Linked DNA regions of Rattus norvegicus. The protein of the gene in region 2 purifies or fractionates together with the protein of the main gene of each other region. This does not show direct contact. Links are inferred from orthologs where the notes say so. Each region holds a gene or a part of one and is shown on either strand. Other genes may lie near its edges.

What was found. Proteins that work in one complex are often made in the same cells at the same time.
Region 1: the proteins of Cops4 (region 2) and Cul4b purify together in Homo sapiens (affinity purification with mass spectrometry; 9 studies listed by BioGRID and IntAct, with this or other methods). This does not show direct contact. The link is inferred for Rattus norvegicus from reciprocal best matches to the Homo sapiens genes COPS4 and CUL4B.
Region 3: the proteins of Cops4 (region 2) and Dcaf1 purify together in Homo sapiens (affinity purification with mass spectrometry; 4 studies listed by BioGRID, with this or other methods). This does not show direct contact. The link is inferred for Rattus norvegicus from reciprocal best matches to the Homo sapiens genes COPS4 and DCAF1.

Annotation. Positions count from the first base shown.
Region 1 is NC_086039.1:122,170,640-122,175,723, reverse strand, and holds part of Cul4b (cullin-4B), read left to right. Parts: intron 1-2,570; coding exon 2,571-2,674; intron 2,675-3,336; coding exon 3,337-3,406; intron 3,407-4,031; coding exon 4,032-4,105; intron 4,106-4,855; coding exon 4,856-5,018; intron 5,019-5,084.
Region 2 is NC_086032.1:9,381,286-9,386,225, forward strand, and holds the end of Cops4 (COP9 signalosome complex subunit 4), read right to left. Parts: intron 2,060-4,940; coding exon 1,926-2,059; 3' UTR 1,612-1,925; downstream 1-1,611. UniProt on the Homo sapiens protein: Component of the COP9 signalosome complex (CSN), a complex involved in various cellular and developmental processes.
Region 3 is NC_086026.1:116,359,109-116,364,192, reverse strand, and holds part of Dcaf1 (DDB1- and CUL4-associated factor 1), read right to left. Parts: intron 3,642-5,084; coding exon of another isoform or gene 3,634-3,641; coding exon 3,524-3,633; intron 1,870-3,523; coding exon 1,793-1,869; intron 1-1,792. UniProt on the Homo sapiens protein: Acts both as a substrate recognition component of E3 ubiquitin-protein ligase complexes and as an atypical serine/threonine-protein kinase, playing key roles in various processes such as cell cycle, telomerase regulation and histone modification.

The DNA of each region.
Region 1 (5,084 bases), on a different chromosome or scaffold from region 2:
TTTTGATACCCAGCTATTAGTGTCTCAAAATTTAACTGTTGTCACCTGTTTGTGTTTTTGTTGTTTTAAGCTTTGTTTTAATTATAATTTATATAAATTATATTAAATTTATATTTATATAATGTATAATTATATTTATAAAATAATTTATTTGGGTATTTGTCTGCATGTTTATCTGTATACTACATGTGTACAACGTTCTTAGACTCCAGAAGCAGGCATTAGATTCCCTTGGAACTGCAATTACAGATAGTAGTTAACTGTCTTCTGAGTGCTTCAAATGGAACCTGGGTCCTCTGCAAGAACAAGAAGTACATCTCTCCAGCCCTGTTTTGATTTTTGAAATTTGATTTTTTTTTAGATACTCAGGCTGACATAGAACTTTATTTAATTCTTATTTCAATGTAGGACTACAGGCATGACCACCACACCTGACTTACCCAACTTATTCTGTTGCATATTTCCTTTTCGTTGAATGAATCATTAGTCACTTTGAATGTAAAGCTCAGCTTTGTTTTTGGTTTTTTATTATTCTCATTAGTATTCTATATATTTCTCTCTGGGTCTTTGGTAGACTTGGATACTTTTCCTAACTTCCTTCTCCTAAAGGCTGTAATAGGGAGCTTTATCTTTGACTATAAACATACTTAGCTTACACTATAGTATTCTGATCATGGTTTTCATTCTAGTATGCAGGGTATAATTCATTATTGACATACATATACTGTAAAAGTCAAAGTGTTAAAAAATAGCTTAGGACTGTGTGATCACTGCCATTAAGCAAAATCAAGGAGACAGGATATACATATAAAAAGCAAGAGTATTGATTTACTGAGGTGTGGTGGGTGGTGGGAGCATTAGGCAAATCTGTGACAGTGAAAGGAGTTACCTTATTTGGAAGAAGTGGTACCCAGTTTAATAGAAATAGAAAATGTGTATCTTGTGGGAAAAGATAATAGATGTGTCAAGAACTGTTTTATGAGATAAAGGAGAACTCAGAAGGAAGTAGGATAAATAGAATGTATTGAAGAATAAAAAATAGGGAAAGTAAAAAATGAAGTGTGTATTATGTCATTGACAACGTAAGTAGGAAATGAGAAATGCTTGAGAAAATGAGTCAGCCATTCAAAAAACAAGATACAGTAAAAAGTGCCATAAAGGGAGGAGGACACCCCATCTAGGATCAGTATGAATAGAGGAGCACATGAAATAAACAAGTTCACTCTTAGATATTTGTTTCCTAACCCCAGGTTACATGGATTGTAACTGAATCTGTCTTTTTCCTATTTGTTCATAGCTGTTAAAGCTGATGGGTCTATTCTCTCCTGTTGAGGATTGATGGTTTTCCTCCAGTGGAATAAGGAAGTTCCTTTTTAAGCTTTATTTTTAAAAAAAAATGGGATCACTGAACTTGCATTCTAGCAATGTGACTTCTAGCTACACTGTTTACAAAATTCCACTCAGACCAACAGAGTTTGGACTTCCCCAGTCCTTTTTAATGGAATGGGGTTTTTGTCTTCCATTGTGGCATGAGAGGAATCTTGGTGTTACACTTAAGCCATTACCAATTGTGGTTAACATTAGAGTGACCACACCTGTTGTTTTAAACTTGACTTTTTTGTTAAAAGGTTTATTTATTTATTATATATGAGTACACTGTAGCTGTCTTCAGATACACCAGAAGAGGGCATCTGATCTCATTCCAGATGGTTTTGAGTCACCATATGGTGGCTGGGGATTGAACTCAGGACCTCTGGAAGAGCACTGAGTGCTCTTAACCACTGAGCCATCTCTCCAGCCCTTTGAAAGACTTTTGATACACATAATAAACACAAAATCTGAACTTGTTAAGATTTGAGGATAAATTCAAGTATTCTAATGAAGTAAAAATATATTCATTCTGTTGTTAAGAGTATGAATTCTGGGGATTCAAGCTGGTTAGGCAAATATTCTACCACTAAGCCCAATTTGCAGTCCCTATTTTCAATTATTTATAAACTGAAAATTGGAGAAAATGTCATAGTGTTTAATTATATCACACTGGTTTAAACACTGCTAGCAATAATTTCCACTTTATTGTATTCAGGAATATCCAAGGAACTATTAGTTTTACTTGAGTTATAGTAGTCATTTCTGGCCCATCTCATACATACAAAACAGGCAAAATTATTTTTAAATTTAATGCATTCTGCTTATGAAAATTATTTGTAACAAGAATGCTTTTGTATGTAGTACAAAACTTTGCATGATTCTCTTCAGCCTTTACTTTTAGTATAGCCCTCATAAACATACAAATGTGGACTTATCTTGGTTTTCACCCACATTGGTCAATTTTCTTGTTTAATCCTGAGTGTGTCTGTGTAAGTAAAGTTTTCTAGGCTAGCACAAAACTCCTAATACTCCCGCTTCGGCATTCTGGGTTGATTCCATTCTTTTGCTTTTTAAAATTGACAAATACTTTATTTTCAATGAGCTGATACAATGTATAAAAAATCATGACTTCATGTGATAATTGAGACCCCTACCCCAACTCTCTCCTGTCCTACAAAATTACCTGTTTTATCTTACAGGCTGTAGAAAATCTTTGTTCTTACAAGATTTCTGCCAATTTGTATAAGCAGCTGAGGCAGATCTGTGAAGATCACATCAAAGCACAGATTCATCAGTTCAGAGAATATCCTTTTTAAAACAAAATGTCACATTTATTTATGTATGTATTTTATGTATGTTCTACTTAACATGTATGCCTGTATGACAGAAGAGGGCATCAGAGAGAAGAGGGTAGTAGACTCTATTGTACATGGAAGCAGCCATGTGGTTGTTAGAAATGTAAGGACCTCTGGAAGAACAGCCAGTACTCTTAACTGCTGAGCCATCTCTTGAGCCCCTCAAAACAAAGTATCTTAAGTTTTTTCATTACTCATTACCTCTCACTGCTTGGCTCAGTTTGAAATGGAATGCCTGTGCTGAAAGATTTATTTTTGTCCTCTTATCTCTGAAGGAAAGAACAAAGTTTTAAAACATTTCAGTGTCAATTATAGTTAAGATCTATACTTACAGTTTTTAAGTAAAAATTTCCTGTCATTAGCCTCTGTCCTGACAAATTTCTATTTGAGGGAAATCATAAATAAAAAACATGCTCAGTTAGGTTTAAGACTGGTTTTAAAGATACGTTAAGGGGGATCAAATTTGTTTCTGCAGTTTAAAAATTAGAATTGTGTTTTATAATTTGTATTATCAGTTTATGGGGTAGTCTATATTTTAAGACAAATACGTTTTATATTACACATATTACTTATATGATACATTTTAAAATATTCTTAACATCTGTCTCATGGATTCATTGGATAGTGTTCTTTTTCTAAAAAAGATTGATAGATGCTGGCAAAATCATTGTAGGCAAATGGTGAGTTGGAAACAAGACTGATTATTTCATTGCAAAAACATTTAGGTGCTAGAATGTTTGGATATCTTGTTGGACGTATTGGGATACAGCTGGTGGGAAAGTCTGGTGTTTATTCTTTATATTAATGCAAATAGAAATCTTGAAACCCACTTCCCACCTCCTAAACACCATGGGTACAAGTTTAAGAGAGTTTTACCCCCTAGCACTGCTGCTAAGAAAGACTAAGTGTACCTTAGATTCCCTCTTTTTTTTTTCTGAGACAAGATCTCATTGTGTAGTACAGACTGGCCCGAAATTTCAAGATCTTTCTGTCTTAGGCTCTTGAGTTGCTGGGATTATAGGCATATGTCCCATGCCTACCTCCAGTTTTTCTTTTTAGTTATTTAAGTAGCAAAGATCTCAGAGGACCATCTTAATTCTGTGTTCTCTAGAAACCACAAGAAGGATTAATAGATTAGTTTAAAAATAAATATATGGGACATATTCTCAGCTAGATATATTTGTTTGCAAGTTGGATCCTATTAGCCTATTTAATATAAAATTTTCCAAATTCTCATTAAGAGCTAATATTGTAGTTTCAAATTTACAAAAATTGCTTGATTTTTTTTTTCTTTTTATTTGACAGATAATGATCAGGAGCATTTTTTTGTTTCTGGATAGAACTTATGTTCTTCAGAATTCAATGCTGCCCTCTATTTGGTAAGGATGCCAGAAGATTATTATGAAAAATTTTGTTATATATCATAGTCTTAATTATTCTAAGAGAACAAGCTGTACTCAGAATATTCTCCTAAAAATTCACGTTTGGATTCTAGCATTTTGAGGGTTTTTGTTTTGTCTATGCTAATACAGCAGACAGCTAACTTTCTCTCATAGTATTTCTTAATGTTAGGTGTGAAGATTAAAGTTTAATCTAGAATTTCTGTGCCTGAATATTATTGCTGCTGATCATTAATGTTTTGCTCTTTTATTTTTCTTGTGACTTTATACTAAAAAGTGTTGTTTATGAAAATAAGATAGCATAATGTCTTGATCCTTCAGCAGATGCTTAGCATATACCTACAGTAATGATTGAAATGTACTGATTTTACGATTTTGAAGCCATTTATGAATGACCAAATAAGCTAGTCAATACCAGTATAGTGGAAAGTATTTTTGTCTTTGAACTAATTTTATTTCTGACTTCACTAAGATTATCATCAGAGGAAATAGGACACTAAAACCTAGTTATGGAGGAAGCCAGGAATTCAGCTTCAGTTCTCATTTAAGACAAAATGGGTTTCCTATATGCTTTAATCTAAAAATGTTATTCAAAATTAAATGTGGATTTTATCCTCTTTATAATTACTGCTTTAAATTCTGAGACCCCAGTAAGCATTATGATAAGCATAACTCAGCCTGTTCATATGGTATTACCAGTTCTGATGATTTTTTTGTTTTTAATTTTAGGGACATGGGATTAGAGTTATTTAGGGCTCATATTATAAGTGATCAAAAAGTCCAGACAAAAACAATCGATGGCATCCTTCTCTTGATTGAGAGAGAGCGGAATGGTGAAGCAATTGATAGAAGTTTACTTCGAAGCCTTTTAAATATGCTGTCTGACTTGCAAGTAAGTTGCACTTAACACTCACTGTGCTACCTACAAATCAGATTACTGTTCGCAGTTTGATGTCTG
Region 2 (4,940 bases):
AGTTTGTTGTCCCTTCTTTGGGTCTGCCTTGCACTGTCACAATTCAACGGATCCCTGGCGGGATGGTGATACTTGGGAAGCACTCTACAAATTATAACGTTTCCTTGTTTTTAAGTATGTATGGCGCATACGTGAATGGGGGGTGGCACATGTGGAAGTCAGAAGACAAGCTTTAACTTTTTCCAAGTTCTTTATCTTTTGTTTTATGTGGATGTGTGTTTTGCCTGCATGCATGTCTAGGCCTCACTTGCATGCCTGGTTCCTCAAAGGCCAGAAGAGGGGGAACAGATCCCCTGAAACTGGGACAATGAATGGTTATGAACCACCAGGTAGGTGCTTGGAATTGAACCCAAGCCCTCTGGAGGAACAGCCAGTGCTCTAACCGCTGAGCCACCTCTCCAGCCCTGGAGGACAAGGTTTTGAGTTGCTCCTTCGCTTCCACCCTGTTTTGCAGCAGGGTCTCCCTTGGGTTTGCCGCACTGCACACTCTAGGCTAGCCGGTTTGAGATTCAGCCCAGTTCCCCTTGTCTTCCCACGCATCTCATCGCAGTGGTGTGTGGGCTACAAACTCACACCATCATCTTTCCTGTGGGTTTTAGGGGTGAACTCAGGCCAGCAGGCTTGCAGGGCAACAGCTTTTACCAGCTGAGCCATCTTGCCGGCCCCGGGTGCCTGCTTATTCAGCCTGAATCCCTGGGCTTGGAACTTCAGAAGTGTCTGCTGCTCCTAGGCTTACAGAGAACTGATTTAAAGAAGGCTAGAATTGTACACCCGTTCTCTAAATCAACAAAGGCCAGGCACAGTAATTTCCCTTGAAAGTCAAGACTGTCTTATGGAAAATAATGTGGGTATTATTTCAAAATGAGCTACGTGTATTTCCAAAAGAAGGGTGTGCTTTGTTGCAGGATATCTGATCAGTGTGACCCCTGAGACTGTGTTGTTTACTGAAAAAACCTGTTTCTAGTGGTGTGGCTCAGCCCTTAGCACCTTTCATCATCCCTCTGACTGGAACACAGACACCCTATTAGTACACACACCTTTAATCCCAAACAAAGTTAGTTTGTAGAAGGAAGCACCCATGTTTCCAAGTATAAGTTGAGTGGCAGACAAAATGCTGAATTAAGGAAACATTGATAGACTAGGATGCGCCCAACCTTCCTGGTCTGCAGGAGGGCCAGTTCTGTTGGAGTTGCTAAGCAGGTACCGGTTCCAGAAGCATCACCTCTCCCTAGCTGATGAACTACAACCCCGCATCCTTCCCCCTGGTCCGGGCTGACTTTCAAGCTGCCTAATGTTTTAAGTGGGTGGTCAAGCTCTTTAACTGTTGGGGCTAAAGTCGTTTATACCCTTCTCAAAGTCCTTTCTGCATATTCTCTACTAATCACATTTGAAATTACCATCCTGAAGTCTTCCTTGTTGGCTCCCTGATGACTGATGGGCTCCTCCTGGTGTGTAACTCAGGCGTTCACCTTACACCTTTACCTTTGTGCCTCAGAGAGCTTGGAGGCAGGCACTGGGACTTACTCTTGTATTTGCAGCATGAGATACAGAAATTAGCTTTTCTAAATTCAAAGGAAAGGAACAAAGACACTAGAGGAAGCAGGACCTTCGTCTGGTTCATCGCTCCGTTTATTAGAGTAACCACATCTGGAGAGGCACAAAGCACTGAAGTTTTACACGACTACCCAGCTCGCTCGCTTGCTCACTTAAAGAACAAGCTTTCAAGACACCCGAGTCAGCTCAACATAGACCCAGGCGGCACGGGAGCTACTGCTTCAAGGCTGCACTGCTTGCTCCTGCGTCGTCCTCACGTGGGAGCTGGCAAAAAAGGACTGAGATGTCTATGGTCACGATGCAAATGCTGTGAGGGCAGTGAATCGATCCGCACAAAGTGCAAAGACGCAGTGTGCACGGAGCTCCAGGACTCACTGGGCCATCTGCGCCTCCATGGCTTGCGCTGTCCACTCGGGGGCTGTCTGACTAATCTTCTCCAGGAGGTTATTTACTTGGAAACAAAGTGATTGGATCTGCTTGTCCCACGTCGGCAGGGCTTCTCGTGCTAAGGAGAGAATAAAATAATAGGAAAAACAGAAATTACTTACAAATCAAAGCTAAAAGATAAATTACAACAGTATTAATTTAAGACATTTATTCTGGAACTCTTGGCTAAAAATGTAAACTAAGCCATCATTAAGAACCAGACCAGGGGGGCTGGGGATTTAGCTCAGTGATAGAGCGCTTACCTAGGAAGCGCAAGGCCCTGGGTTCGGTCCCCAGCTCTGAAAAAAAGAACCAAAAAAAAAAAAAGAACCAGACCAGGACGAGCATGGCGGCACACATTTTTCATCTCTGCACTAAAAAGAAGGAGTGGGCAGGATCTCTGAGTCTGTGGTGAGTTCCCGGCCATCTAGGAGAGCTAACAGCAAACATGAAGACTGAGTGTGACAAAAGCGTTGCTGTTATCAATGCCCCTGGAAACAGAGTCAGCCCTGAAGACCTAGGAAGACCAGATGACCGCAAAGCAGCCTCACTCAAGGGCCCGGTCCTCAGTGTTTGCTGGGGCGACACTGCCATCTACTGGGACAGCACTGGATTTCCACAAGAGAACGTGTCTACCTCACCAAATAATTAACATTTACAACAGAAGAAGAAAACGTGAGATCTCTGTGAACACTGTCTTGACTCTACTTTTTTTTTGAGGCAAGCTTTCTCTGTATAGCCCTGGCCACCTGTGACTTGCTGTGTAGACCAGGTAGCCTCAAACTCTGCTGCCCATGCCTCCCGAGGGCTGGGATTAAAGGTGTGCGCCTGCCCAGCTGCATGTATTTTAAAGACTCAAAAAAAAAGAGCGTTTTATTTCATGTGTGTGACTGTTTTGTGTGTGTTTAAGTATGTATGTATGGTACGTACCATGACCTTGCCTGGTGTTCACAGAGGCCAGAAAAGGGGGTGACCTAGAACTGGAGTGACGGATGGTTCTAACTCCACTGCAGGACTCCTGAGCCATTCAGTTTCCTCCCTTTAATTTAACTTGTTTTTCCTCCCTCTGCCCTGTTTTCATTTTTTAAAGACCACAATGACCCTGGCTAGAATGGAGAAACTAGATTAGAAAGCAAGTGTACATGAGAGAAAACATCACAGGCTGTGACGGCAGCATTCTAAGTAAGTCACAGGGAACACAAGAAGAACAGGGGCAGCAAGCCGGCCAGAGGATAAGCATGGGCCATGTGAGCATCTGAATTCCACCCACAGTAGGACTCACGGTACAAGGAGGACTGACCGACCACTGGAAACTGTTCTCTGACCCCACACAGCTTCCACAGTCATACACATATAAACACTTGAATTTTTAAAAATAAGGAAAGCACATGGATCCCTAAGAGTATCAGGAGTTGTAATTTATAGGACATGGAAGATGAAAAAGTTAAGAAATTTTTTTAAAAAGTGAGATGTAGCTTTTAAATGGTTAACTAGCAGATTTTGGACCTGTGTCTGTCCTAAAGCCTTATTAAGCAATCTGGTATAGACACCTTAGCGTGAACAAGAGCTAGAGATTGAGAGCGAGAGATTGGTACAAGAAATCCGGCCATTTCCACAGAGTGCTAACTGAATCAAGGATACAGATCGCCCATGGAGACTCAATGCCCACAGCAGGAAAGGCCAGGGACTCAGCCGTGAGTAAGTCCTGTTAAATCTAAGGGCCTCACAGACTCCATACAGATGACGTGAAAGACAGCTGGGCAAGCAAGAAAGAAGGCAGGAGCAGGCCAGGGAGCTCAGCTGACAGCATCACGATGGCCACGATGTGGTGCTGTGTGCACAAGGATAAGTGATCAGCAATATTCCCTTTATTAAAACCAAGAGAAGGAGCTAGAGAGATGGCTCAGTGGTTAAGAGCACTGACTCCTCTTCCAGAGGACCTGAGTTCAATTCCCAGCAACCACATGGTGGCTCACAACCATCTGTAATGGGATCTGAGGCCCTCTTCTGGTGTGTGGGGACAGCGCCAGTGTACTCATATATATAAAATAAATAAATCTTAAGAAAAAAAAGAAAAGAGAGATGAAACCTGAAGCAGGCTTGCCAGCACACCCCTGTGATCTCTGCACTCAGGGGGCAGAGATGGGAGGAGCGCCACAAACCAGGGGCCAGCCTGGGCACTGGGCGGCAGGAAGTCTACTTAAGAAGAAAATAAAAGGCCTGAAAGATAAAGACATCTATGTGGTCTAATGGAAAGAAGTCAGCAGGATTTTAAAAGTTAAACAAAGTGCTGACTCGGGGCTTTAGCACAGGTCCTTTTGGCGGGTGAAGAGCAGGACTAGGGACGGGACCCTAGGGACAGGCGAAAGGGCAGACAGACCACAGACGCTGCCCTACACCTCACACCTCACATTTAGGGCTTCATAAATCCGATCAAGACAGTTTAAAAAAATCTTTGAAATGAGAAATGGTTTTCTCTCTAGAAAACAAAACTCCCTGCAATCTGAAGGCAATCCGCCATGTCGGAAAGAGAATGGGAGAGAAATGAAGCAGCAGCCGGTGTGAGGAGGACTGTAACCTGCAGCTCCTCCAGCACACAGACAGCCTGAGCGGAAGCGGAAGGTGAGGAGGGTCTCTGTGCAGCAGGAATGGAAGGCCACAGGGTGCTGTGTGTCCCACCGCAGACTGAGGGAAGCTGAGAGGGGGCCATCTTCACGGCAACTGTGTATCCAGCACCAAAGGTGAGCCCCGAACACAATGACAGGAAACCTCACACAGGCCGAGGGGGGGGATAGAGGGATACACATGTGTGCACACGCACAGCCCAACAGTCAATGACAAAGGAGGCCCTGAACTTGTTCTAGGGAATCAGCGAGAACAGAACTGAGCAACTCAGCAGGAGAGGAGAGAGGACTGCGCCGACTGGAGGTAGAGTGTGGAAGAGAACACGGTGGCTCTCG
Region 3 (5,084 bases), on a different chromosome or scaffold from region 2:
ACTCTCAGTATACTGCCTCCACAACAATACTGAATCAAATAATGGCATTCTGGATCTAGACAAGCATCAAGATTAGATGGGGTTTTTTTTTTATTGTTTTGTTTTTTAAGGGGGGTGGTGGGGCTGGAGAGATGATTCAGTGGTTAACAACAATTGCTGTTCCTGCAGAAGACCCAGATTCAGTATCAAGTACAACATGGCAGCTCATAACTGTCACCTGTATTTCCTTTCAAATACAAGGGTAATTATTATCTCAGATGGAGATACAATGAAATCCTGTTTTGCTTTTTCAAAAGTTAAAAATGGGCAAGGTGGTGGGGTCACACTCTAATCCCAGCACTCAGGAAACAGAGGCAGGCAGAGCTGAGTTCAAGGCCAGCTGGTCTATAGAATGAGTTCCAGGACAGCCAGGGCTACATCTAAAAATCCTATCTTGGGGGAAAAATACACAAAAAAATTAAAAGGTCAGAAAAGAAAGATCCAAGTCTTTTTAAAGTATATCTAATTTAATTCCTTGAGTTAGTTATATTCTATTTGATCTGTAACCATCAAATATTTCAATTTTACTAGATGTTTATTTTTCTTCCTTGTCCCACACTTCAGAAATAGCATAAGGAATTTAAGTTGTTGCTTTGTTTTTTATTTAAGAGGGCGTCAGCACATAATCCAGCCTCCTAACTAACCTGGAACTCCTTGAACTCAGAGATCCACAGCCTCAGCCTTCTGATTGCTGGAATTAAAGGCATGTGCTATCATGCCCAGCAAAAATTTTTTTTAACATTTATTTATTTATTATGTATACATCACACAGCTTTCTGTCTGCATGTATGCACCTGCAGGGCAGAAGAGGGCACCAGACCCGATTATAGATGGTTGTGAGCCACCATGTGATTGCTGGGAATTGAACTCAGAACCTCTGGAAGAGCAGACAGTGCTCTTTTTTTTTTTTTTTTTTTTTTTTTAAAGATTTATTTATTTTGTATATGAGTACACTGTAGCTGTCTTCTGACACACCAGAAGAGGGCATCGGATTCCATTACAGATGGTTGTGAGCCACCATATGGTTGCTGGGATTTGAACTCAGGACCTCTGGAAGAGCAGTTGGTGCTCTTAACCACTGAGCCATCTCTCCAGCCGCCCAACAAAATTTAAGAACTTAAAATATTGGGGATGCTATCTTAATTGAGCAATTTTCTTTTTCCTTTTTTTTTTTTAAAATAAGATTTATTTATGTGAGTACAACGTAGCTGTCTTCAGACACACCAGATGAGGGCATCGGGTCCCATTACAGATGGTTGAGAGCCACAATGTGGTTGCTGGGAATTGAACTCAGGACCTCTGGAAGAGCAGTCAGTGCTCTTAACCACTGAGCCATCTCTCCTGCCCAGCAATTTTCTTTTTAATTGCTTTTTATTATTACTTGTGTTAGAGACATATAATATACAAAGTGTATATATGAACATGCCACAGTGCTCAGGCACATGTGTGGAAATCAGGTGACAATTTTGGGAAATGGTTCTCTCCTTCTACCTTTATGTGTGCTCCAGGGATCAAACCTAGAACTAAAGATATCAGGATGGTGGCAGGCACTTTTACCCACCAAGTCATTTGTAAGGCACAACAATTTTCCTTTCTAAGAAAGAACACATGGGCTCAGTGGCCCACACTTGTATCTCAGCTACTCAGGGGCTATGGAGAATCAAGAGTTTTAGACCTGTCTGAGCAACAAAACACAACCCTCTTCCAAAAGAAATAGAAAATAAAGTCTCAGATGTAAAAGTATACATCTTACCAGGATGTCGATCATCAAACGGATCTGGATCTCCTTTACGATATTCTTCGGTTTCTTTTTCAATTAATTCAGACATCCTAGCAAGAAAGGAAAAGAGTTAACAAGTTAACTCTGAACAAGCACACACAAAAATACTAAGCATAGTAACACATACCTGTAATCCCAACACTCAGAAGACTGAGGCAGGAGGCCTGCCTTAAGTTCAAGGCCAACCTAGGCTACTTAGTAAACACTATCAGGTCAGTTAGAGCCATACAGTAAGACCATGTCAGAAAAAAAAAGCTAAATTAAAATACAAAAAAGTGTATCAGTATTAAAGGGGCATAACACAAAGTTAGAAAAGCATGATTTTTCTGATGAATAATAAAGTCTAAATCACCTCATAAAATAATTTACACTCCGTCTCCTTGCATTACAAAGCACCCTCACCTCAGAAACTTAAGCTAGTAAGTCATCATTAAAACCTTCATTTCCAGACAGGCACGGTAGTACATGCCTGCCAGTCACCACTATCTAAAACCAATTCTCAGCTCTTGTTTCCTACTTCTCTGCTTTACCTAACATAATTTGGTCTCCAGCTTCCATTCCTTAAATTAAGTCCAAGCACTATGATAGCCTGCAATTATCTAGCTTCTACCAATTTTGTAAAAGCTTCTTTTACTCTTCTATCTCTAATATTTTATTAAACTTCAAACACATGGCCCTCTCTGCTATTCAAAATATTCCAGTTCATTCCTGCTTCAGGGCCATTCCATGCCTTAATTTGTTAGCTTATAATGTTCCTCCCACCCTCTAGGCTTCTACCATGGTTCCAACAAGTAAATATTCTTTTGCTTTTATAAAAGATTAGTTTTGCCTGTTCCAGGATTTCACCTAAAGAGAATCATATAAAGTCTTACTATGCCAAGATCCTTCTAAGAAAGCATCCATGTTCCAATAACAAATTCCTTTTCACTCACGAAGTCATTCTTTTTCTTGTGTATGTACAGGTGTACATGTGTACATATGTGTGGAGGCCAGAAAACAATCTCAAGTTTCATTCCTTAGGAATGCACTCCATGTGGTTTTTCTTTGGGGCAAGGTCTCTCACTGGACTGGAACTCACCAAACAGGAGAGGCAGGCTAGCTAGCAAGCCTCAGAGATTGTTCTGTCTCTACCTTCCCAACAATGAGACTACAAGTGCACATCATCGTGCCTAAATTAAAAAAAAAAAAATTCAACCAAGAGGTGGTGGCACATGCTTTTAATCCCAGCACTCCAGAAGCAGAGACGAGCAGATCTTTGAGTTCTATCAGCCTGGTCTACAGACTGAGTTCCATGACAGTCAGGGCTACACAGAAAAACCCTGTTTCAAAAACAAAACAAAACAAAACAGCAAAGAGAAAAAATAAATCAAAGTCTATCAAAATATTCTTATATTTTCTTCTAAAACCTTTTTTAAGGTGTCTCTATGTATGTGTGTGTGTGTGTGTGTGTGTGTGTGTGTGTGTGTGTGTGTGTACGTATGTACACACACATGCATTAGGGTACCCACAGAGGTAAGAAGAGGGTATGAGAGCTGGAGTTACAGGCAGTTAAAAGCAGCCCAACATAGATGCTAGGAAACAAACTACATGAATAATAAGTGTTCTTAACTGCTCAGCCATTATGTTAACTCCATTTTTTAAAACAGTTTTGTGTATATGAAAGGACAGGTAAGTTTTCTGTGAATAAAAACAAATAATTCTTACCTGGTAAGGATAGGTACCATATCCTGCCCACTGCCATGGTCCTTTTCCCACTGCTCCAGCAGGGTAGTGAGCTCAGCTTTGGAGTCCACATGTACCACTACTGTAGTCATGACTTGGCCTAAAGAAGTCAAAACAATAAGAAATGAACAAAACAAACGTAAGTGACATAGTTCCCACAAAAAGTGTGAAGGTGAGCAGGTAATGGATAAGCTGGTCTGGGGAGATTGGGCACTTGTTAAAGAGTCTGAGGCTAGCCTGATCTACATAATCAGTTTTACTCCAGCTAGGGCCACACATAGAAATGATGTCAGAATGTGGGAAAAAAAAAAAAAATACCTGTCAGGTGGCCATGGTGCACACCTTTAATCCCAGCACTCAGAGGCAAGAGAATCTAAGTTCAAAACCAGCCTGGTCTATAGACTTTCAGGACAGCCAGGGCTACACAGAAAAACCCTGTCTAAATAACAAAAGGCTTGAAACTAAAAAGGTGAGCCTACAATGCATTGTGAATTTACTAAATGCCAGTGGGTTGAAAACTTATAATCTCAGGAAACGGGGAGACAGGCTTTTCACTAGTTCACTTGTAGCCCCAGCTAACCTGGGTCTCACTATGAAGCCACCGTCTAGGTTTACTTTTTTTTTGAGATAGGGTATGTATCCCAGGATATTTTTGAACTCACTCTATACCCAAGAATGACCTTGTTTTTCTTATCCTCCTATCTCTATCTCCCAAGTGTTAGGATTAGGGATACGTAACCATCACAGCAAGTTATGCAGTGCTGAGGCTTGAACCCAGAGCTTCACGAGTACTAGACAGCTGCTCTACCATGTAGTAAACCTGCCCTTTTCACTTTCTCCATATTTTTAAAGTATTATTTATTTTATGTATATAAATATACTTCAGACACACCAGAAGAGGATATTATGGATGGTTATGAGCCACTATGTGGTTGCTGGGAACTCACGACCTCTGGAAAAGCATTCAGTGCTCTTAATCACTGTCATCTCTCCAGCCATTTTTTCCATATTTTTAATGGAGGTTTTTATTTTTAAAAAAAAGGGGGGGTTGGGGATTTAGCTCAGTGGTAGAGCACTTGCCTAGCAAGCGCAAGGCCCTGGGTTCGGTCCCCAGCTCCGAAAAAAAGAAAAAAAAAAAAAAAAAAAAAGGCCAGATGTGCTATCACAATGCCTTTAATCCTAGCATAAGGGATGCAAAAGCAGGAGCATCTGTGTAAGTTCCAGGACAACCAGAAAGGACTCTATTAGAGAAAGATCCTGTCTCAAAAAGAACAAGCCAGGTATGGGGGATGCATGCCTTTAGTTCTGGCACTTAGGAGACAGAGGCAGGTGGATCTCTGAGTCTAAGGCCAATGTAGTCTACAAAGAAGAGTTCAAGGATAGCCAGGGATACAGGGCTATGCAGAGAAAATTTCTTGATTTTAAAAAAAAAAAGAGGAAACTATGAAAGAATGCCCTTAAGCCTTCTCAAATACACACACAGTTAGTTTGTGCTGCTTTCACTTACTTCCTTTCACTTGGCACTTGACAATGACAGGGACTG